Caenorhabditis elegans: one gene and its partners. The protein of the gene in region 1 interacts with the protein of each later gene in a pairwise test. Each region holds a gene or a part of one and is shown on either strand. Other genes may lie near its edges.

Evidence for each region. The genes of interacting proteins can lie anywhere in the genome.
Region 2: the proteins of unc-13 (region 1) and rbm-25 interact in a two-hybrid assay, tested with the Caenorhabditis elegans proteins (one study listed by BioGRID).
Region 3: the proteins of unc-13 (region 1) and Y55F3AM.13 interact in a two-hybrid assay, tested with the Caenorhabditis elegans proteins (one study listed by BioGRID).

Annotation. Positions count from the first base shown.
Region 1 is NC_003279.8:7,419,661-7,426,493, reverse strand, and holds the start of unc-13 (Phorbol ester/diacylglycerol-binding protein unc-13), read right to left. Parts: upstream 3,710-6,833; coding exon 3,637-3,709; intron 3,537-3,636; coding exon 3,507-3,536; intron 1,561-3,506; coding exon 1,461-1,560; intron 1,166-1,460; coding exon 1,055-1,165; intron 822-1,054; coding exon 691-821; intron 1-690.
Region 2 is NC_003283.11:12,495,238-12,505,184, forward strand, and holds rbm-25 (RRM domain-containing protein), read left to right. Parts: upstream 1-2,975; 5' UTR 2,976-3,055; coding exon 3,056-3,095; intron 3,096-3,167; coding exon 3,168-3,226; intron 3,227-3,274; coding exon 3,275-3,379; intron 3,380-3,427; coding exon 3,428-3,583; intron 3,584-3,638; coding exon 3,639-3,699; intron 3,700-4,016; coding exon 4,017-4,151; intron 4,152-4,261; coding exon 4,262-4,356; intron 4,357-4,498; coding exon of another isoform or gene 4,499-4,531; intron 4,532-6,037; coding exon 6,038-6,138; intron 6,139-6,427; coding exon 6,428-6,995; intron 6,996-7,326; coding exon 7,327-7,849; intron 7,850-7,952; coding exon 7,953-8,143; intron 8,144-8,189; coding exon 8,190-8,279; 3' UTR 8,280-8,468; downstream 8,469-9,947. Other genes in the region: W04D2.4 (C2H2-type domain-containing protein), read right to left, coding at 375-460, 514-791, 837-1,493, 1,874-2,085, 2,131-2,397, 2,449-2,517; T28H10.1 (L-aminoadipate-semialdehyde dehydrogenase-phosphopantetheinyl transferase), read left to right, coding at 8,568-8,737, 8,785-8,960, 9,012-9,141, 9,440-9,564, 9,609-9,865.
Region 3 is NC_003282.8:1,053,544-1,059,388, reverse strand, and holds Y55F3AM.13 (FH2 domain-containing protein), read left to right. Parts: upstream 1-3,075; 5' UTR 3,076-3,088; coding exon 3,089-3,217; intron 3,218-3,258; coding exon 3,259-3,844; intron 3,845-3,908; coding exon 3,909-4,054; intron 4,055-4,101; coding exon 4,102-4,305; 3' UTR 4,306-4,366; downstream 4,367-5,845. Other genes in the region: znf-782 (C2H2-type domain-containing protein), read left to right, coding at 197-544; mrps-25 (Small ribosomal subunit protein mS25), read right to left, coding at 1,875-1,973, 2,022-2,188, 2,238-2,484; dcap-1 (mRNA-decapping enzyme 1), read left to right, coding at 4,603-4,701, 4,751-4,860, 4,927-5,611.

The DNA.
Region 1 (6,833 bases):
ATATTCCAAAAATTTTATGGGAAAGAACGTTTTGGAATTTGACAGTAACATTTTTAGGTTAAAAATGCATGTCAGAAATCTTATGGTAACAATTAGGTTTCACTAGAATATTGGAAAATGTTCATAAAATTCTAAAAAACTGTAACAGATTGTGTGTCTATCGTGTTGCATGATCAATAACAACGGATCAATCTGATGGAATCTCGTATTTTAGTCTTGCATCCATTTGCTTTACATTGACAACTCTTATCTTAATTGTCGTTGGTTTTTCCAAAACTTTTTCAACAGTAAAATATTATCTAATATTTTTCAGCGTTAAAGATAAGGATTACTTCAACTGTGAATTTATCAGCAAATACAGGAGAATCTGATAATTTTTATTTTGAGCTTGTTACCGCTAACTTCTGAATAGTTTGTTCAGTTTTGAACAATATCAAGATAATTTTGAATTGGTTTAGATTAGGTGTTTCTGAATGCAATTAATTAAGTTAAATTGTAAATTGATTATGAACAGCAATTAGCTCAATGTGCTTCAGCAAGTAGCATGATCAGGCTTTTAGAATATATATATTTAGAAATATATAAGAATATATAATAGCATAAAATAATTAAGATTTAATCACAGAGGAGGGGAATATCAACAAAAATCCATACTATAAGAAATTATAATTCTGAATAACAACCACTCACCAAAAGGAAGCTCAAATCGAACATCAGTCAACAAGTTATGACCTGTTGGACCACGTGTTCCTACAGTTTGACCATTTCTTGTTTCAAGTTCATGATCCATTTGAAGCCATTGACCCGAACCTGCTGCATTGCTGAAAATCAATGGGGTATTTTTAGAAAACTGATACATTAATTTTAAAAGTTAGAAACCACTTCCGCTCAATTACGACAATTATAGGTGGCGAAAACTGAATAATTGCACTTTTCCATTGTAAATAAGAAACGTTCATATTTTTTCGTAAAATTGTATTAAAGTATGTTGCCATTTTAGTATTGGTTTTAGAGTGATTTTAACTGACGACTGGAAATTAAAAAAAAATTTTACCTGTATCTAATCTCCGAAAGTGGCATATAATGAACACCTATTAATTTGTCCCATAAAACGCCTTTGGCCCATAATTCGAGTACCATTCCGTCGTCAGGTCGATTTGTTTCACTGAAATAATTAATTAAATATGAGGTGATGTGGTTTAGCTGAAACCTTAATGTTTGATTAATTGGTTTTCAAATATAATTGTTGTTATTTTAATAAAATAATTGTAAGTGTAATGAAAAAAAAACAAGTAAAACGTTCCAAAACTAAAAAAAGGAGGCAAAATAACACCAATTTACGCATAATGGTATTTTTCCTTCCATAATATCAAATATTACTATTTTCAGCTGTTCTTTTTTTATAACATTTACAAAAATCGGTCTCCTTTACCGTATTTCACCTGTCAATGACAACTTACAAAATGAATTCCTGCTCCCAGCATGGTAAGTTGCCACGCACAGCCACAGTTGTTGATTTTACAGTCTGCAGCTTCACCGTCACGTACGAGTTGAATTCATCTGAGATCAGGCATTTAAATTGTTTTTCAAAAATTTAAAAACTGAAAAAAAACATGCTCTAATGATAGGGAGGGCGCGAAACGTTAATGCTTGTACAAAACCTCTTTAAAATTTATAGAAAATTTCAACTCAATCCAAGTTTTGATAATCAAAATTTTAAAAATCAAAACTTGATAAGACTTTGGTAAAACGAAGGTGAAAAGTTGTTGAGATTTCATTTCCAAAAAGAAATTTGAAAAAATCTAGAGAAGATTATAAATCTGCAAAATCTCTCCAATCCTAAATAAAATCGCAACTTCAAAATTTTTTTACTGCTGGACAACTTATTGGCTAATCCTAAAAATGGGACAGTTGAAAACAATTGGGTCCTAAAACAAGAGTTAGAATGTAACACGTTAACTATAAATATGCTCTCATGAAAATTACTGGGACGCTCAGTTAAACTTTTGTACCCAGGGGAACAATAAAAAAAGAAGCTATATTTTTTTTAGTTGAAAAGAAAAAAAAAAAGAGAACAACGTGAATTATAACTCAATTTCTGGCTCAAACTTGAGTGAAAGATCAAGAATCTTTAAAGTTCTTTCTCATGAGATTTATAGTAAATGTAAAAAGCTACTAAACATTGAACGATTTGTTAAATTTTTTGAACAAGCTGGTTGTATTCTTACTATTACTATATGCTCTTACTATATGCTTTAAAGATGGGGTACTTTTAGCGGGATTTTGTCAACTTACGTTTAGAATGTGGGGTTTTTCGAACTATATGTGTAACTTCAGACACATTCTTTACTACTAATACTTAAAAAAACGAAAACATTTGTTCTATATTCTCAAAATTAAATGAAATATCAAAAATTATTTCAAAAGCATTGGAAATATATGTTTCGCTTAATTTTTAATAATTTTTTAAAATTTTAATTCCATAATTTTTTCTTGAGCTTAACGTACATGATAAATAACAAAGTTTAAGTTTCATTTCATTTTTCTTGGTCTTTAAGCTTCCAGTCCACCGTATCTTGTTTCGTCTCCGGTGCCCTCATTCATTCGTCATTCCATTTCAAACGTTTTCCCCAGTGACTTACTCTCTTGTTTAGAGGTGCCCCCGGTGCTTCTATGTTTAATTTCCTGGCAACTTTTTTCCGGTTTCTTACTTTTTACTTACTCACTTGCTCACGAATGTAGTTAAACTTTTCCTGCCTCTTCAACGACTCTTTTCTCTTATCTTACTCTAAAAAGGTCCCAAAATTTGATTAAAATTTGCCAAAAAAAAGGGATGGGAAAATAGAAGAGGCGGGTGCATACACATACATTCAGAATACTAAGCACATCTTGTACGTGATGTTGAGGTATAAGTTGTGCATTATTTCGTGTGTCATCGAAGCATGAAAACGCGCGTTTCACGATGAGATTTATTATTCGGGAGGTCGCCCCGTGAAACTGGAATGACAGGTGTCACGAATGATGAATTTCTCAGGCGACAACTACAAATCGGAGCAACGCCACGCATGATCGTTTCTCGATTTGCAGAAAGGGATTTATTCAGATTTTTTAGTCTTTCACCCAAAGGAGGTGGACATTTCATTTAAAAAAAGTCAGATCCACATTTCAGACATCTGGCAAGTTAATAGTTTTTTGTTGAGATAAAGTGATGATTCATAAAGTGGAAGAGCCACTTGATTTTCAGTTAGCTCTGACTATGATTTTTTAAAAGTATTTGGAGCAGGAGCATCTTTTGGTTCTATGGTCATCGAGACTAATTGTAACAGTACTGGCACACTGTTACATTTTCAGATTTTTTTCAAAAAATTGGCAGAACTCTCAGAATATTTGTTACATTATCTACTTCAAGTTTCAGGGAATTTCCAGTATTTTTCAAACGAAATAAATTATTTTAAATGAAAACTGAACTATATATTTTAAGTTATAAAATCAATAGAAATACTCACCGACAGCTCCTTGAAGTCGTGCTTTTTTAACTGAAACAATCAATGTTAACATCTCGTCCATAACTGAGTGTCGATGGTCTCGTATATATGTATTCTCGAGACGGCAAGAAGAACACAAATAACAACTCACTGGTAATGCAGAGCAACCTCATGCTCATGCCATCTGAAAGTTGATCATCATTGTAATCTCCAACGTCATCCATCCCTTCTGATTGTTGAAACGTGGCATATTCTTGGGCGATGGTTGAAGAGGAAGCGGCCTCCCCAGATGGGTACGCGCCGCCGACCAGTTGTTCCAATGCCGAGAACAACTTGGTCTCCTGGAGAGTTTTTGGATCAGGATTTTCAGAATTTTAAGGTTTTAGCGAATCAATTAGAGATCAGGTTTAGGTTCAAGTTCCTGGTGCAGAGTTAAAGCTTGAGATCAAGTTTAACCTATAGACAAAAGTTAAACTGAAGGTCAGTGATGAGTGGTACAAATAATTGGATTAAGCAGAAGTAAGTAAGTTCAAAAGAACTAACAGCCTAATCAGACAGATCCAGAGATCTTTGAAATTTGTGTTTTGTAGTTTTTGTTCAAAGAAAGTTATAGATAGAACGTGTTCAAAGCCCCTTAATTTTATATAAAAATTAAATTAAAAACAAAACTCTCAATTCCTACATAACAATGAATAAAAAATTATATGCATGACATGATGAAAAGTCATAAAATACAGAAAAAATGAGCTCCTTTTTTTGCTAAGAAAATGCGTATAGCCTCGAGGTGCCTTCTGCATTATAATGAAAAATGCATCACTTTTTTCTATACTTTTTTTACTATGAAATACGAAAAACTGGGTTAAAAAGTAAATACAAGTTTAGAAAAACTATATTGTTTTACTTCTTTCTCTTGTCAAAGTTGTTTTTATTCTTTAAATGAGAAAATTTCAAGAATGTGTTAGTAACTCAGTGATTTTAACATTCAAAAGTGGAACATAGTGAAAATTTTTTCAAAAAAAAAAAAAAAAAAACGAAATTAAAAAAACGAAATTTTTGTTACCAGTCAAAAAAATTAAAGAGTTTGCAAAATTAAATTTTGGCAGTATAACATCATTTTGACTGAACATTTGAAAAATCTGAAACAATTTTTTAGGGTCTCATTTAAGCACTTTTATTTTTGATTTTGACAAAATCCTGACTGGTGCTACATTATTTTTACAATAAAAAAACAAAACTTCAACATGAACTTCTTATGGACAAAAAAGCTGTAAACTCTTTAATATAATTTTTGTCTAAAATTCCAAACCTAAACGAAAAAATCTTGATCAAACCACAAAAAAAGTTGATTAAGAAAGTCCAAAAAAAGAAACGAACGCAAAATGCGCGAAAAAGTAGCATTTTTTGGAGTATATACTAAAGAAACCAGTGAGATAGTGATTCAAACTAATAGACGCAGAGAACCGGAATAAGTATAACGGAGAGTGTGGAGACGGCGACTGGATGAGCTTGTGCTTTCTTCTTCTTCTGCTCCCGCTCTCTACCCCCTATTCGCCACTCCCCCCTTCGCAAAAATTGAGGACGGAGTAGCAGAAGACGTCGCGGAGCCAAGCTAGAGGAGCACGGAGCACTGAATTCTCGGAGAACCCAGAGATAGTTGCACCCACTACCACCACTCTTCCCTTCACCACAATTTCTCTTTTGGTGTCCCTCTCTCTCTCTTACTTTTTCACCAATTGGGTTTCAGAAATGGACAATAGGAGGACGTTTATATGTGTTTGTGTATGTGGACGGTTCTCACGCTCTAGTGCTCTCCATTCCAATTTCTAGACCTAGATGCCACTCAATGCTTCAAAACAGACTTGCTATGGGAATTCATATCAAATTCTGTGTTCCGATGAGGTTTTAAAATCATACGAAGAACCCATTTTCAAGGGTTGTGTTCCAGAAAAAGATATTTTTAATTATCAAGATGTTTTCTAGGAAATTAGATAGTTTCCAGCATGTTTTAAATATCGAAAATTAGTTCTGAAATTTTTATATTTGAAGAAGAAAATCTGTAAAAGGATCAGTCACAAAAATTATCAAAAAGTTTTTAAATGGATGGTCGTAATGCATCAAACGGTTAAGATGAAGATTCTCTCAGAAATTTTGTGTCTGAATATTTCATATTCTAAATTCTAAAAAAACCCAGCACACTTATCGACATTTTCGAGCATTTTGCATCGAATTTTCTCAAACTGAAACAATTTTCTCGTATTTCTCGAAAGTTACAATAACGCTTTGACATGTTGACGTAAATGTTTACATATTAACAAATATCAAATTGTACCATTTCTCTAACTAAAAAACAAATCATTATAACATAGCAGATGAGAAGGGTTTGATATTTTGAAAGGAAATTTGAAGCCATAATGAAATCAAAATTTCAAAACGGGAGTTTAAAATTTCTAATCACTTGATGAAAACTTACAATCTGAAATCATTTGCATCTCAGAAACCTTTTGAAAATGCGATTTAATTTTTCAAAAAATATTTTGAATAACTTTGGACGGACAATGATGATCGATAAAATGCGACTGCACATAAAATACACAAATCAAACAGCTGAAAAATAATTGAAAATTGTTTTTCACTTGTTCACTATTTATGGATAAATTTTTTGATCGGAAAATTGAAAATAAAAGTTTTGTACAACAAAATTGTTTTATGAGTTGGATATAGCTATAATATATCTTTAATATAATCTTTTAAAAGGAAAAAAGAGAACCAAAAAGAAAAACGTTTTGTTTCATCTCACCATCTCATCATCGTCATTTTTTGTTAGATTTATTCGAGCGGAAAAAACATTTGAGCATTGATAAAAAGCTTTAAATGAAATATTCATCAATTCTGGTGGATTTGAACTTTTCCAATTTGCTCATGTCGAGAAAGCCACAGTGTGTTAGCTTGTAATAACTTAGAATTTGAAATAGCCCAGGTGTGAAAAATTCCATAACAACGATTGATTTCAATTTAAAAATCAATAAATCAATAATTTTTAATTTTTATTACTGATTTGTTAGTGAAAAGTATACATACATAAACTTGATAGAGTAAAAGCGTTCGTTCTTCCGTACAAATTTTGGAACATTTGAAGAAAGGTGTTCTAAATCTCAAAATGGTTTCCTTGCAAAACTTTTCTTTAAAAATGTTTAACACACTGGAACATCTTAGAAAAATAAATCTAGGAATAAAAATTAGCATAGCGTCATTTTTTTTAAAAATTCAATCGCCAAAAGAGATTGTTTTTGCAGAATGAAAAATTGTTTTCTCACTTTGAAGATACGAAGGGATAGAAGATGAAGCAGT
Region 2 (9,947 bases), on another chromosome or scaffold:
TTTCAATTTTTTTCAATATGTGATAAAAGTGTAGCGATTTTGACCCAATAAATCCAAAACAGTGTTCAGAAATGGATTTTTTTTTTTGGTTTTTTCGGATAAAAACTATTTTTCAAATGTTATAATATTCAGTTGGGAGAAAAACGAATCGAAATTTTTTTTGAGATATTCGAGTTTTTCTCCAAATTCCAAACAAATTTTTTTTGACAATCCTGTGCAATATCACTTTTTATTTCAGAGGATTCATCCAAAATTGAAAAACCGCATGTTTAATAACTGGTTTTTTATTCTTTATCATTTTTTCCCATTACGCTAGTTTTTTAAATACTCTTAAAAAAAAAAAATTTCAAAGCTAAACAAAAAATAATACTTACCAAAACCGTATGTTTGAACGCCTCAACTTCTTCAAGCAATAGATTCAAATTATCAACTTTGTGCGTATCAAGAAATCGATCAACAGCTGAAAAGTGTGTATTTTAAATACCAAAATAAATTCAATATATGAACACTAACCATTAGAAGGTCCTGATTGATCAGAGTCTTCAAGTTGATGCCTGGTTGACAGATGATGATGGTCATTTTGAAGATGTCTGTGATGGTGAAGCTGAAGACTGTCATCGATTTCGTCATCTACATCTCCATCAACAATCACAACTTCCTCATGTCCAGGCGATTCGATTAAAATTCGTTCATCTGTACTTGTTTTTTGTTCATTGGCAATTTGATCATTAGAACTTCTAGGAGCCACGATTACTTCATTTCCCACTCGAACTTCTTCACCTCCGTGTTCACTGAAATTAAAAAAATAGACAAATATATCATTGTTTTAATCTTACAGAATTTCATTTCCCTTTCGTATTGCTTCCTGATGTCGTTCATACGTCTGCGTTTCGACAACTTCAATTTCTTCTTCTTCAACCATCTGAGCATCTTGTACAAATCGTTCATCTTCATATTCCATTTCAATCTGGATAAATCTCGGATCATCCATATCTTCATGTTGCTCGTAACCACTACTAGATTGTGAAACATCTCCTAATGGAAAAGCCATTAAATGATCACGTCGGTTTTTGCCCACAAATACTCTTGGTCTCGGCCAGTGTTCTTGTATTGCAATTTCAGTTGTTGTCGGTTTTCTTGGTTCTGTGAATCGATGTGGAGATCTCATTGAAACTGGTGGCCATTCGATTCCTACTTTGTCGATAAGTTCCTCTTCCCAAACTTCGATTGATTTTGGAATTCCTTCTCTGCTCCATTTTTTAGTGCACGAAACTAATAGAGTCTTCAACTCATCGGTATCTACAAAGCAAACTCGCTGAGCATAAATGTTGTCTGCAGAGATGCTGAGGAAATGATGCCGTAAAAATCCAATAATTTCCATAGGAGAACTCTGTTCCATTTGCTTCTGAGCAATTATATACTTAATGACATTGGGGAGCCGCATCCGTGCGTCGTGAGCGTAATGATCACCACAAAATTCCGCAGACACATGTCTGAAAATAAAGATAAATTTGTTTATTTTTCAATTTTATTTCAAAGCAGAGGCCCCACGAAAAGGGGAGCAGAACGAAAAGAGGATCTGCAAAAAGGGGATCTGCGAAAAGGGGAGCAACGAAAAGGGGACCTGGCACTGTGCCAAACGCACAAAACACTTTTTTATTCTCATTCAACGCACGACTTTGTTATAACCACACTCCGTTGTGACGCATCGCGCGTTGTTTAGCGTAAAATACAAAAATAATGCGTGCGTTGAATGAGAATAAAAAGCGTTTTGTGCGTTTGGCACAGTGCCAGCTCCCCTTTCCGCAGATCCCCTTTTTGCAGATCCCCTTTTCGTTCTGCTCCCCTTTTCGTGGGGCCTCTCAAAGCATACCCATCATTATGTTCTGTTGCATGAATAAAAGCAGTACACGTGAATCCTAATCGAAATGGTCCTGTACGATCATTGGCTGTATTCTTATCACTACTCACATTGCCACTTCGATTGCATGCCAAAAAAATTCCTTTTCCACGCCCACGTCGTTTTGATCCCGATTTGTGTCGAAAATGAGCACCACCTTCCGACTCTAACCAGAATCTGAACCGCTGAAAAATTAATAATTATCAAATGTCAAATTTTAGATCTCCTACTTCAAATGTAGCACGGTCCGGGAATTCCATTGAATGAACATCCGGAAGAACGTCGTGCTCAATACGCAAATGACTGTGGAACTCAGGTCTCGTGATAAATTCGGAACTACACAATCCGCAACAATAAAATCTCTTTTTGAGTTGAGGATGCGAAACCATATTATCGCTTTGATTACGTCCACATCCATTATTCTTGTGATAATCGATCGTTCGAGAGGCAATCAATTTGTTGCATCCATAGGGGCATATATAACGTGGTTGTTGAGGCTAAAATAGTTCATATTAATTTGCTAAACACATTGCTGAAAACAGACATACTTTTAATTCCATGTAAGCTTCCACATGCATGTCATCTTCAAGATGATGATCATCGATATCATCAGTCATTCTGAAATTATAAATATCAACAATACATAACTAAATATTTCAAAAAATGAAATATAATTAGGACGTTTTATAGAGAAAAATAAGAACATGAAAGCACAGCGTTAATCATTTTTTATTTGAATGAAAAACAGTCGAAGGACAATCGGTGTCAAGAGTAGTTGCTGACGCAGAAGTGGTCACGAGAAATGCGCAAAGGAAAATCGATAAATTTCGTCTGCGCGTTTCAACGTATGCAATTGTTTAGAACAGAATCATCGCATTAATTTTTTACATTTTATATTAAAATAAAACCTTTACCTAAAACCTTTGTAAAACCTTTGTTTTATTAATTATTTGCATGTTATTATATAAATTTCGTTCCACAACACAATCTACTGTCGCTGAAATTGTTCTCTTGATAGTTAGGTGATAATTTATTTTCTCTTTTTTCTTTTTTACTCATTATCTTTTCTGGTCTAACTCTTAATACATTGCCATGCTCCACAACTTTTTTGTTTCAGGAAAAAATCGAATTTAGGACTTCGTTTTTCTCACGACCATGGCTTTCAGACAAGGCTATGGAGTGTCTTCGTACCCTCGTGAGTTTATTGCCTCGAGGCACTTTCTCAGTTAATCTTAAGAAAGTTTTTGTAGAAGAGTTTATTTTTCAGACTATCCACAACAACAACAGCAAATTGTTTTCGGACAGATGAGAATGCCGGGCCAGCACGTAAGCTAGTTTTTTCATGTAAAAAATAATTTTTTGTTTTATTTTCAGACGCCCGCGCAGCAATCAAGCCAACAAAAACCAGATTCGTCGCCAGTTTTTGTTGGAAACATATCCGATAAATGCAGCGATGAGTTCATCCGGAAAATATTAAACGTAATTATTACATTAGTTTATGGAATAAAAATTAATAAATTTTTACAGGAATGCGGTAATGTTGCGAGTTGGAAACGCATTAAAGGAAGTAACGGCAAATTGCAAGGTTTCGGATTCTGCCATTTCACAGATCTCGAAGGAACTCTACGAGCGCTGCGCATTCTTCACGAATTTCATTTGGGGGACAAAAAACTAACTGTAAAGGTTTGTTGAATAATGTTGTTTTCTAATCCCAACGCCAAAAGCTCTATGATTACAGCCTGACGAAAAAGTGCGTGATGATCTACGCAAAAATGCTATTGAAAATAGGAAGAGACAAGGTAAGAAATGGGTTTTTGACAGTTGAAATGTTTCATTCTAATCGATAAATCTCTTGTTTGAAGCATTATTTGCATCATTGGTTAGGTAACACCTTGTCTTTTGCATGTTTCCACGTTTTATGTTTACCGTATCACATGCTTGTAATAACCAAAGCTAGCATTTTTCACTGTTATGATTTTCAAAAATTGTTTGTATGTTTTTTTCTTTTGTCTCACTTCTCATAGTTGGAGAAAATAGCAAATAATTGTGAGCTCGATCTAATATGCCCAGTAGAAAACCAATATATCTGGATTTACCTATAGTTTCTAAATTTCAGGCAAAAAAGAACTGAAGTTAAAGCATGACGAGCTACCTGCAGACGAAGATGATTTGAAAAAAGACGAAGAAATTCGATTGAAAATACTTCATTGGATGGAAACTGATCACAAGGAACTATTTTCAATCACTGAAGGTATAACTTTACTTTTTAAAGGTGGAGTAGAGAAAAATGAACCGTAATGACCAAATATAACTGCTTTTAAAAACTTTTAAAACAATTCGTAACAGTTTTTCTGTTTCCAGATGGAGAACTCTCTGACGAGACCAAGAAAGTCAAGGGACATGATAGTAAAATCGAAAAGCAAACCGTGCCAAGTTCGTCTTCAAATCCAAAAAAGGTGAGTAATAGCTTCTGACGTGTATCCAACGACATGAGCCTTTCCATGGCTCTCCGCTGATATGAGAGGTGACTAATAGTTACAACCACTTTTAACATAAAATTTTAATTTTATGATCATTTTGACTATTCTATATAGGAACATGTATAACCAGCCAAGAATCGGAACACGATACGTAAGTTTTGACCCCATTTTCTTATATTTTTTAATATATATATTAAAACCTAAAAAGTCAATTATATGTAAAATGAGCAAATACACGAACCACATCAATATAAAAATTAATGATCACGTTAAATATGAAAAATGAGTAAATGCAAGAGTCCTATGTTCTAACCAACGCACAATATTCACAAAACTACGAAATTGAATATCGAGTAAAAATTTATGTTTCTAAATCTCACATTTCACCTTTGAAATGCATGTGTGAGTGTGCCAATTAACATGTTTCAGATTAAGCTTTTGCATGCTTTTCCCTTCTTTCTCTCTGCCAACCTCTTCTATTTCACACTCATGTCTTTTCTGTCTCACAGTCTATATTTTTTACGTTCCTCAAATATATTATCGCATTCCTCAGTTGTGTATCTCGGTCCTTTACTAATCATTGTTGGTGTGCAAAATATCAAGTAAAACTACATATTTTCTCCAGCAGGTACCAAAATGTTCCAGATTTTCTACAGCTCCTCCACTCATCAATGATTTTTGGTGGTATGTTGTTGAGTGAATATACGTATGCTTTCGATGTGTGTATGTAACCCCCCGTCTCCCCCACCATTTTTGTTCGAGAAGCCATATAAATTGCTCTGTCGTGCCTCTCATTGGGGAATTGCACCCTTCTTCTATTCCCATTCTTTTGTCCCCAGTATTCGTTTTATTAGTATCATCCTAAAATTACTTCCACTTTTGTAGGGAATATGTCAGAGACGAGCACTCCTTCATCTGCGGTAAGACAAGTTTTGCTCTCTATGTTGAAAATAATCATTTTACTTTCTTGTCGGCTTCCTGTTTTTATTTCTAGCGTTTCTCAAATTTTGACTGAAACTAGAAATTATTTGACGTTGTGTGTGTGTGTAATCCCGCACTAATCAACTGCTTCGATTATAGATTATAGAGAATCGTTTTTATCTAACTTTTTTAGCGTTTTCACTCTCAGATTGCAATACATTCACGCATACAACTTATTCTTGGGCTATACTCACTTTGTTCGTGTCTCCTTGTATTGTATTCCAAAATCGAATTTGCAGAAAAAACTGAACTACTGGATTTCCATTAGTTTTTGCCCAAATTTGAGTCGTAAGTCATCATCCCCTCCAGCTCCCTGTTTTTGTTCCGTTTAATTTAAAGACTTGCATGCTTTCTCAGTCACCTTTTTATTTGGAAAATGTTGGTAACCCTGTTTGAAAAAAAGTTGGGTTTTTAATAACTCATGGTGATGGTTTCGAAAAATTGAAGTGGCCTAATATTAAAAGTGAGTACTACTATGTGTATGTCTATGTGTTACATCAAATTCACGAGAAATATATATTCATATTCTTTTTCTCTCACTCTCTTGCTCTCTTGTCCTCTCGCCTATCAAAGTTTTTTTTGAAAAACTCGATAAGAAAATTGCAAAATAAAATACATGTAGACCAAGTGATCTCAAATATAGATTTTAAATTAATTTTCAATAATTGTATTTCAGGATGAACACAAACGAAATCGCAATCGACGCAGCCGCAGTCGCACAAGGAGCCGAGAAAGAACTTCACGACGATCGAGAAGCAAAGAATCGCCCAGAAGCAAGTAAGTGTTTTAATTTAATTTAATTTTTATTTTCAACCACTGGAGTACCGCTGGAATAGTCAAAGGGTGTTGGTTCTTCAATTTTTCACACAAATTAAAAAACGAAAATATTCCGAATTTTTCGGTATTCCGATACTTCAAAAATTTCGATTTTTCGATAGTTAGCTTATAAAATTTTAGTAATTTTTTTCTTTGTAAAATAAATTTATATGCTTTTTTTCGTCAACATAAAAATAATAAAAAAATATTCTTTAAAAAAATGTTTCAATTTCTACTCAATAATTTTCAGGCGATCACGTCGAAGCCGCTCCAGCTCAAATTCATCCTCAGAATCGGACTCATCTTCATCTCGTAGTTCATCATATTCTTCTCGATCCAGGTCACGCACTCCTCAACGTAGCAGAACATCTAAACGACGCCGAAGTAATAGTCATGCTTCAGAAGACAGCGATGATGCAAGGGAGAAACGTGCTTTCAAACAAATGATGCTTGATAAGAAGCAAGCATATCTGGCTCGTCTGAAACGATGGGAATCAAGAGAACGACAAATGTCGAAAAGGTATGAACGAGAGGAACGGAAAGAGAAGGATCGCAAAAAGACACTACAAAAGGAAGGCAAACGATTAAAACTATTCCTCGAGGACTATGATGATGAGAAAGATGATCCAAAATACTACACTTCTTCTCAATTCTTCCAAAGAAAAAGAGACTATGAACGTGAAAGGGAAGCTGATCAAAAAGATCGAATGCAAGAACAGCAAGAGATTGAAGAACTCAAAAGACAAATTATGGAAGAAGCTGCAAATGATGAGAGTATTAACATTGAAGAGGAGGCAAGGAAACGACACAAACTAAAGGTTTGCATTTTTAATTCGTACGCGGCAAGACAAAAATCTTTCGTTTCGAAGCTTCAAAGAAAAATGACTTGAAGTTTCTAAATAGGTCCATAGAACATCGATCTAATCAAAACCTACCGTATAACTAAAGAAGTTTATACACCATTCAAAATTGTTCCTAACTGAAGTTCTCTTCTTTCTTAATTCTGCCATAATTTTGAGTATTTTTTACAGTATGCCTTCCTTCCACGGGTGATATTTCTCTGGGCTTAATAGAATTGCGCTTTACTTATTTTACTACGCTTAGTAGTGATTGGCACAACTATATACATTCAGTAAACCCTATCAAAAGTTTCAGGAAGAAGAAGCAATGCGAAAAATGCGAGCTGATAGTGGAAGTCCAAATCCTCATCAACCACTTGGTCAATCGGCAAACGGAGAAAAGTCTTCGAGTGAAGAAGAGAGTGATAGCGAAAAGACCGATGTCAAAAAGGAAATTAAGGATGAAATTAAAGAAGAACCAATTGATGTAGATATTTCCGAGCATGTAGATCCTAACACTGGTTCGTCTGGTACAAATGGAAATTTCGGATGGAAAGCGATTGGAGATGACTCTTCTCTCAATACAAAAATAAACCGCCCTATAGCTAACGGAAATCAAAATCAGCCGCAAATTAAAAAAGAAGCATCTCCTATTCCAATTGCTCAACGCCTCAGTGGTGTGTTTGGAAATGATGACGATGAAGACGATGTGCATAGCAAAAAGAAGTTGAAACCATTCGAGATCACTAGAGAAGAGCGTATGCAAGTCATGTCAGCTGAAGAAAAAAGAGAGCTGACGAAGCAGATAATCAAAACTATTCCTGCTACAAAAGGCAAGTTATTTCGAAGAAAACGTTCATAAACTTTGAGTTTTTATGGTAAAATCAAAGATATGTTTATTGAAAAAAAAAACATTTAAAACTTGATTTTTTTCAGATGAACTTTTTGTTCATAGAATCGAATGGGATCAGCTAGATGGGAAATGGATGAATGATCGAATTCGTCCGTGGGTGGCTAAAAAAGTCACTCAATTCCTTGGCGAAGAAGACAAATCGTTCTGTGATTTCATCTGTGATCAAATTGAGAAACAAGCGACACCCCAAGAAATACTCAAAGACGTCGCCGTCGTGAGATGATCAATTATTAAGTAAAAATCTAATATATGGAATTCAGATCATTGACGAGGATGCTGAGCAATTTGTGATCAAAATGTGGCGACTTTTAATTTATGAGGGACAAGCCCGTCGTCTCGGAATTACATAACTACTTTCAATATTGGAAATACATTATGCAATCTTTTTACCACTCATCCCCGCCTCTGTATTGAGTTGTTCTTTACTTCAAAGACTCGTTTTACTGTCTATTTCTCTCTCCCTCTCTGGAATTCATTCCAGTGAGCAGCTGACTTAATAATCGCTATTATAATATTAAATTAAATATAGTTTTCTGTGCTATACTTCAAACTGATATTTTTATGAAATGTGGCATCTACCTCTTGATGATTTCTAATTTAGCTCATCCGTCTCAATTTTCATCATAAATTCCAGCGCAATGAGCTTAAGATGGGCAATATCGCTGGAAGAAACGATAACTTCATCTACATTCCAAAATATGTTTAGACGGGCTATTTTGTGTGCATCGGAAAGTGATGTGGAGCAGCAGAGACGGTTTCGATATAAAGAAGATGCATTGGCATGTCTGATAGGAAGATTAATTCCAAGGTTCTAACAAAATGTTATTCGAGTTTGAATAATTGGAAGACATTCAGAAAAGCTGCCACTATATCAATATCTCGTCAGTGGTCAGATCTAGAGTTTAGTCGGAATGAAAATGGAAAACCATCTCTTATTCAAAATAAATCAGACTATTCTCGTCAAAACTTCGAATACAACGTATCGCATCATGGTGATCTAGTTGTATTAGCTACCGGAGATACTAGAATAGGTTTGTACTAATGTTTTGAATTTTGATCTTATAAAGGCAAAATTATTTAAGGTGTCGATGTGATGAGAGTTAATGAAGCTCGGCGTGAGACTGCTAGTGAACAAATGAATACGTTGAAGCGACATTTCAGTGAAAATGAAATAGAAATGGTTAAAGGGGGAGATAAATGTGAACTTAAAAGGTATCGTTTCAAACTACAATTCTTAATTTTCTGTATTGTGTATATAAAAGTTCACGGATTCAATCAGATGGATCTCAGTTTATGGCAGAGCTTTTCCGATTTTCACGACAAAAAACTCAACAAAATTCATAATGACGTTATAACAATATCCTGAATAACGTCAAAGCGGGCACCGAACATATCAGTGGCGAGACCCATCCGGATAAATTCGTGCGCCTTTAAATACGAATTTCAGAAAATTGAAAACTGACAATATTGAAATCATCAGTAAAATTTAATAAATCATCCTAATTTCTAGATGGCACGCATTCTACAGAATTTGGTGTCTGAAAGAATCAATTCTAAAAGCTACGGGAGTTGGACTTCCAGATGGACTGCACAATCATACTTTCCAAGTAGATTCCAGTTATGATCACGCGTCAGGTTAACTTTTCGAAAGAATCTATCGTTTTATGTATCCTTTTCAGGTCACTCAACAGTTTCAACCCAATATTATCATCGTTTGATTCCACAACCACAATGGATTTTTGAAGAGTCATTTATTGGAGAGAATCATTGTGTCGCTGTTGCTTCAGAAGTATCTCCGTCTACTACTTCCTGTGCTATACCATTTCAAATGATGTCTCTCGAAGAAATTCTCCAAGACGCAGATTTTATAAATATTACAGCTGATGTAGATGAAGAACTTGATGTATTTATGGGAAAATCAAATAAACCATTTTGAGATCGTCAAAAAAAAAGAAAAACAAACAGATGAAGACAGCACACCAGGAAACGGAATCAAGTTGTTAAATGAAATGAGCAAG
Region 3 (5,845 bases), on another chromosome or scaffold:
TTAGGCCAAATACTGCTAAATTGGGTTATATTTCAAAATGTTTCCGAACCTAGTCATGATTATACTTATTCAAACCAGCTTGACGTGCTGATCACGAGAACCTATAAAATTATGGGTCTCGCAGCGAAATTGACAGGGTTACTGTAGTCTTATGCTTAAAACTTCGACCTCTAATTCCAAAAGTGTGATTTTTCAGCTCCCGAACTCAGCGGATTTCGGCCCACTTACGGCCTCCAAGCCACACGCCGTACCCTTCCATCCCTCAGAAATGTGTCTGTCGGCATTCCGAAAAGTTCCAGAGTCTTCGTCAATTTCCGGACTGGGATCCCTGTCCACAAGTATTCTCTCAACTCAACTATTACTTCAACTTCAACATACTCCCGACTTTAACTACCTCCTCAATCAGAACTTGTTATCCTCATTGGCCGGTCTCAGTGGCCTTTCAGCAACTCTCGGACCTCAGCTACAGGCCACCACGCCCACTTCGGCTAATCAGCAACCGTTTTTGATGGCGGCGCCCAGTGCCGTACAACCACTTGTTTGAACATTTTTTATATTTTTTTTTGCTCTTTTTACAAGAAATTTGAAGGTTTTTGAGTGAAAATTAGCGATTTTAAACGACACTCCGCGATCCCACCTGCGCGTGTTGTTTAGCGTTAGCGGGAAATTCGAAATTTTGAGTCAAAACTGCAATTTTTGCTCGATTTTCGGAGTTTTTCTGCTAAAAATCGATCGAAATTGCGAAATTTCAATTTTCAAACGGCACTCCGTTATTCCGTAGGTGCGTGTTGTTTAGTGTTGGCGGCAAATTTGAATTGTTGCTTGCTTTTTTAAGTTTTTCGACGTAAAATCAACAGTTTTAACGGAAAAAATTCAAATTTTCACTCAAAAATTTTCCTTTTTATTATTATTTTTCTTTTTTGTCATATTTTAAACAATTTCTCTCCCCCTTATTCGTGGTCCTCAAGCAGCTTAATCGTGTCCGGTAAATTTGGCCCCGCCCACTCTCACACTGGCCACGCCCACAAAATGTCTTTCACCCCGTTTTTTGTCGAAATCCGGTCGAATTTATTGATTTTTTCTTCTTTTTTTTTCGAAACATCTGCCAATTTGATCTCTATTTATCCCACCTTTCCTCCCGATTTAAAAAATTTTCCTTGCCCTACAGTAACTCCCGCCCTATGTCCCTTCAAACTTGCCCCATCCCTGAAAAAATTCTCGTCAAAAAAGTTGTTGTTCCCCGTATACACATTGATTTCTGGTCAAAATAATTGTAATTTAATACACATATAAATCATATATTATCGGTTATATTAATTTTTCAAAAAAAAATTTTGGGTCTCGTCACGAAATTTTCGAAAGAAAAGAAGTTTCTTCGAAAATAGTCATGATTATACTTATTCAAACCGGCTTGCCACGCTGATTTCAAAAATATAAGTTTCATGGGTCTCGCAGCGAAATTGGCTGGGTTACTGTAGATTTAAAGGCTAAATTTAGGCCAAAGTCGTTCAATTTTCGTTCAAATTTTAAAAATTTTAAAACCTATGCTTGAGTAAACTCATTCAAACTGGCTTGACACGCTGATTTCAAAAATATGTCTTTCTTGGGTCTCACAGCGAAATTTATCGGGTTACTGTAGACTTTAGAGCCGATTTCAGGCCAAATCATGACGATTTAGGCCCAAAATATAGAATTTTTGAAACCCAGGCATGATTATACTTCTTCGAACCTTCTCGTCGTGAATATTGCGGCAAAAAGATTGTAAAACTGAAAAAAAAAATCGTTTTTTCAACAAAAAACAAGGAAGATCGACACAAAAACTAGCTAGAAATAGGGGGAAATAGGAAATTTACACAAAAATCAATCGATATAAATTAGATGAGATTATGATTCCATCGATATTTTCCGGTGACACATTGCGGTGCTCGCAGGAGTCCCGTGCACGGATGTTGGCCTTGAACTTCGCACATACACTGAAAAAATGAACGATTTTTTGCCGATTTTTCGCGCAATTTTCAGACCTGTCGCTCATTTTTGGATCCGAAATCGGCGGGATTAAGCTTGGCAATACTCTCCAAATGCTCTCTTCGCTCCACTAATTCCGTTTTTCCTAGCGTTTTCGCCAATAATTTCTCGATTTCCTCGCGCTTCATGCCGTCCAAGTCGAATAGCACTTCCCGGCCGTCGTCTGAAACATTTTTTAGTAGAATTTTGTGGATTTTCAGCTTGAAACTTACTCAGATATGCTCTGGCAAAGGGCGTCACAACTTTATCGGCATGCTTAACGAGCTGAACTTTTGGATTGTGATATTGAAGCTGCGCCCAGTTCCAGTAGACGAAATCTCGTGCTCCAGACTGCTCGGGCGTCGGATTTTTATGAAAACCCATCGAGAACACGTTGACGTTGTCGCGAAGCTTCACTTTTCCCTGCTGGAGATAGAAGAATGTCCGCCGAAGCGGCATGGACCCGTGCATGAACGGCATTTCTGGTTTTGAGCTGAAAAAGGAAGGAATTTCGTGGGAAAACGCTGAATATGAGATTACGATAAATTTATGCAAAAGATAGAATTAAAAAACCACTGGAAAAAGCTAAAAAATCGCTTGAAAATGAGAAAAAAAATATATAATTAAAATAAATAATTTTCCTCCCAACGACACTCCGATATCACGTTGTGCGCCTTCTTTATCGTAAATCCACATTTGCTTTTATTTCTGATTTTTGGGTTTTTTAGCTGTTTTCAAGCTATTTTATATCAAAATTCAGTAAAAACCGGTAATTTTTCGTCTATTTCCCGCAAAAATTACATAAATCATGTAAAAATGCTGATTTTATACCAAAAATTCACTAAAAATAAATAACACGCACTTGTTAATTCGGAGCATCGTTGTTTTAAACTCTAAATTTTTTTTCCAGAAATTTGATGGTTTTCCCAGTTTTTCAAGCATATTTCATGTTTTTTGGTGCCTTTAACGCTTCTGAAAAATTTTAGATTCTCGAAATTCCATCTTACAATCTCTCGATTGCTCTGAAAATCTCAAAAATCTCAAGATTTCGTATAAAATAGGATTTTCCAGGGTAAATCACGCGATGCCAATGTACAAGCTGACACCGACGTTCCCACCGAATTTTGAGGTTCATCCGAAAATCGCCTGCTATCCAGTAGGTTCGTATCATAATCCATCTTTCGGAGGAGTCGGGCCTTCTGATGCGGTGCAGGTAATAGACGGATTTTGGCTCAAAAAAAACTGAAATTTCAGGTAGAATCCGATCCGCGCAAGGCTTTGGAGCACAAACAGCTCTCACTGATCGAGCAGCTCAAAGCACAGACCGAAGAGCTCAAGAAGTTGCTGGTAAGCCTTGGAGAGGCTGGAAAAGCAGAGAGATCTGCTCAAAAACCTGCGGAAAAAGCGCCAAAAGAGCCTGAGAAATCCGCTGGAGCAGCCTCTTCAGCTCCCGGAGTCCCCGGAGCCCCCGCAAAACTAGACAAGGACGCCAAGAAGGAGGCTCGCAAGGCTGCCAAGGCAGAAGCCGTAAAGAAATTGGCTTCCGGAGAGGCTCCACCACAGAAATCCGCGAAAAAGACCGTAAATTCGACTCCATGGACCGTCCAGGACGACCGAAAGACGTGGGAGACCAATCTGACTCTCACCGTGAATCTCCCAACCTCCCTTGTGGCCTACGAGCCGCAGGAGCAGCTGAAAAACGCCACGCTGACAGTGCGGGACGTGGATTTGCCGTGGGCTCGGGCTCTCGCAAAGGTCGGCGCAAGCCGTGGAGTCTCGTTTGAGGGAGAAGTCAAAAATCAGACGAAAGAGAAGAAATCCAGTCTGAAAGTTGTGAAAGGTGCGGGATTTTTTCTCTAAAAATCAGAATTTTATGATATACCCTTAATTTTCAATATTTTCAGGCCCTGCTCCCTCCCTGCAATTGGAAAAAACTACCGTCAAATCCCTTCAAACTATCTGGAAGCTGTTGGGCTCTTCACTCGGGCTCTTCTCTAGACGGCCACAACAAGTGCTCAGCGCCAGTCATCAAGCGATTTGGCTGGGAAAAGTAGGAAATTTTAGAAACTTTCCCAAAAAAATCAAATTTTCTTTCAGGCCGAGCAAATCCTTGCCGGCTCCTGTGATCAGAGCTTTGTCACACGTGAAGCTTCTCAGTTCCTGGCTCGTTTCGACTCGTTAAGCTCTCAATGGGAGGTGTGTGTCGCTGATATTGTGTTCAGAAGCCTTCTGAACCTTGGGGAGCACCTTCCGAACAATGTGGAGTTGTGGGCTAAGAAGATTGACGCTTTGATTGTTTAGATTTGATTTATTGATGTTTTTATTTGATTTTCTCGGTTTAAATGAATTATTTTGCATTTTTATCTGATTTTTTCGTTTAAGAAACAAATTTTTTGCTTTAAAAATTCAGTTTACAATTACAACGATACTCCAAAATCCCGCAGCGCGCCCTGTTTACCGTAAATCTACACCATAGAATTTCAATTTAAATTCTGTCTTTCTTTGTTTTTTTCGCGATTTTCACCGATTTCCGCAGATTTTTTGCACTTTTCTCATCATTTTTCATCGAAAACTCAACATTTTCATCCAGGAACCAGTATGAGCGACGCTAAAAAAAAGGCCGCCGCCGAGCTAGCCGCGAAAAACCTCGCACAACTCCAGAAAATCGACATCGCCGCCAGCAAGATTCTCGACAAGGTTTAACATAGAGAATTGTGGATTTTAAAGCTAAAAATTGGTTTTGTAGATGCCATTTGCCGCGATTTATCATATCGATGCGGCGAGAAAAGAGTGGAATCAGTCGAATTGCGAAGGAACATTTTTCGTCTATCAGAGAGCTGATCGGCCATATTTTAGGTGAGAAGAAGCAAGAAAACATGCAAAAATAGCTAAAATAATCAATTTTAAACTTATTTATTTCAGTTTCCTCATCGCAAATCGCAACGATCCATCGGATTTCATCGAGCCGCTCACCCTCAACCATATTCTCCGCCACGACGGAAATTTCATCTACTTTTACAAGGATTTGGCCTCAATTCAAGCACTATGGTTCCACCAGATTGATGATGCTCAGAAAATCTACAATTTGTTGCAAAAACTCGTGAATCGTCTGAAAGGAAGCACTACGGAGCAGGCTCGGGCCGCCAAGGCCGCCTCGGAGGCTCCACAGGCTTCGGTTCCGGCTCCAACGCAGGCTCCAGCAGCTCCAGCTCAAGCTCCACAAATGGCTCCTCAAGCCCCACCAAAAGTGGATCTTCTCCAGCTCATAAAAAGTGCGCAAAATCCGCCGCAAAAATCTGCGGCAACGATCGAACAAATGCCGCCAATGCTCCAGAAGCTGATGCTCAAAGAGCCGGGAGCAGCAATGTCGGCCGATGAGCTCGAGAAGGATCTTATAAAGTCGGCAAAACCGCATCGGAATCATCTTTTGCAAGAATTTACTAACTCAACGTCGGCGATTTCGTTGGCGGCGGTCTCGACGAAGCCTTTGCATGGATCGGAGGGTGATGTGGAGTCGGATATTGCTGAAGGAGAGATTTTAGAGCCACTTGATGCTTCATTTGTCGTTGGAAGTGGTGAACAGACGCCTGTTCTCAATAAAGAACAGGTTGGAGCTGGAAAAACGTTTTTTTTTTGAGTGAAAAGCTCAGATTTTTTAGATAAAATCAATTAAAAACTGATTTTTCACGAGAAATCTCGAAAATTTACATGAAAAATCTTTATTTTAGTTGAAAAATTTTGTCAAAAATCCCATTTTTGCTCGAAATTGGAGCTAAAAAATGCGAAAAATCAGTTTTTTAACGGAAAATTCAGGTTTTCCAGCTAAAAATCTGCTTTCTCA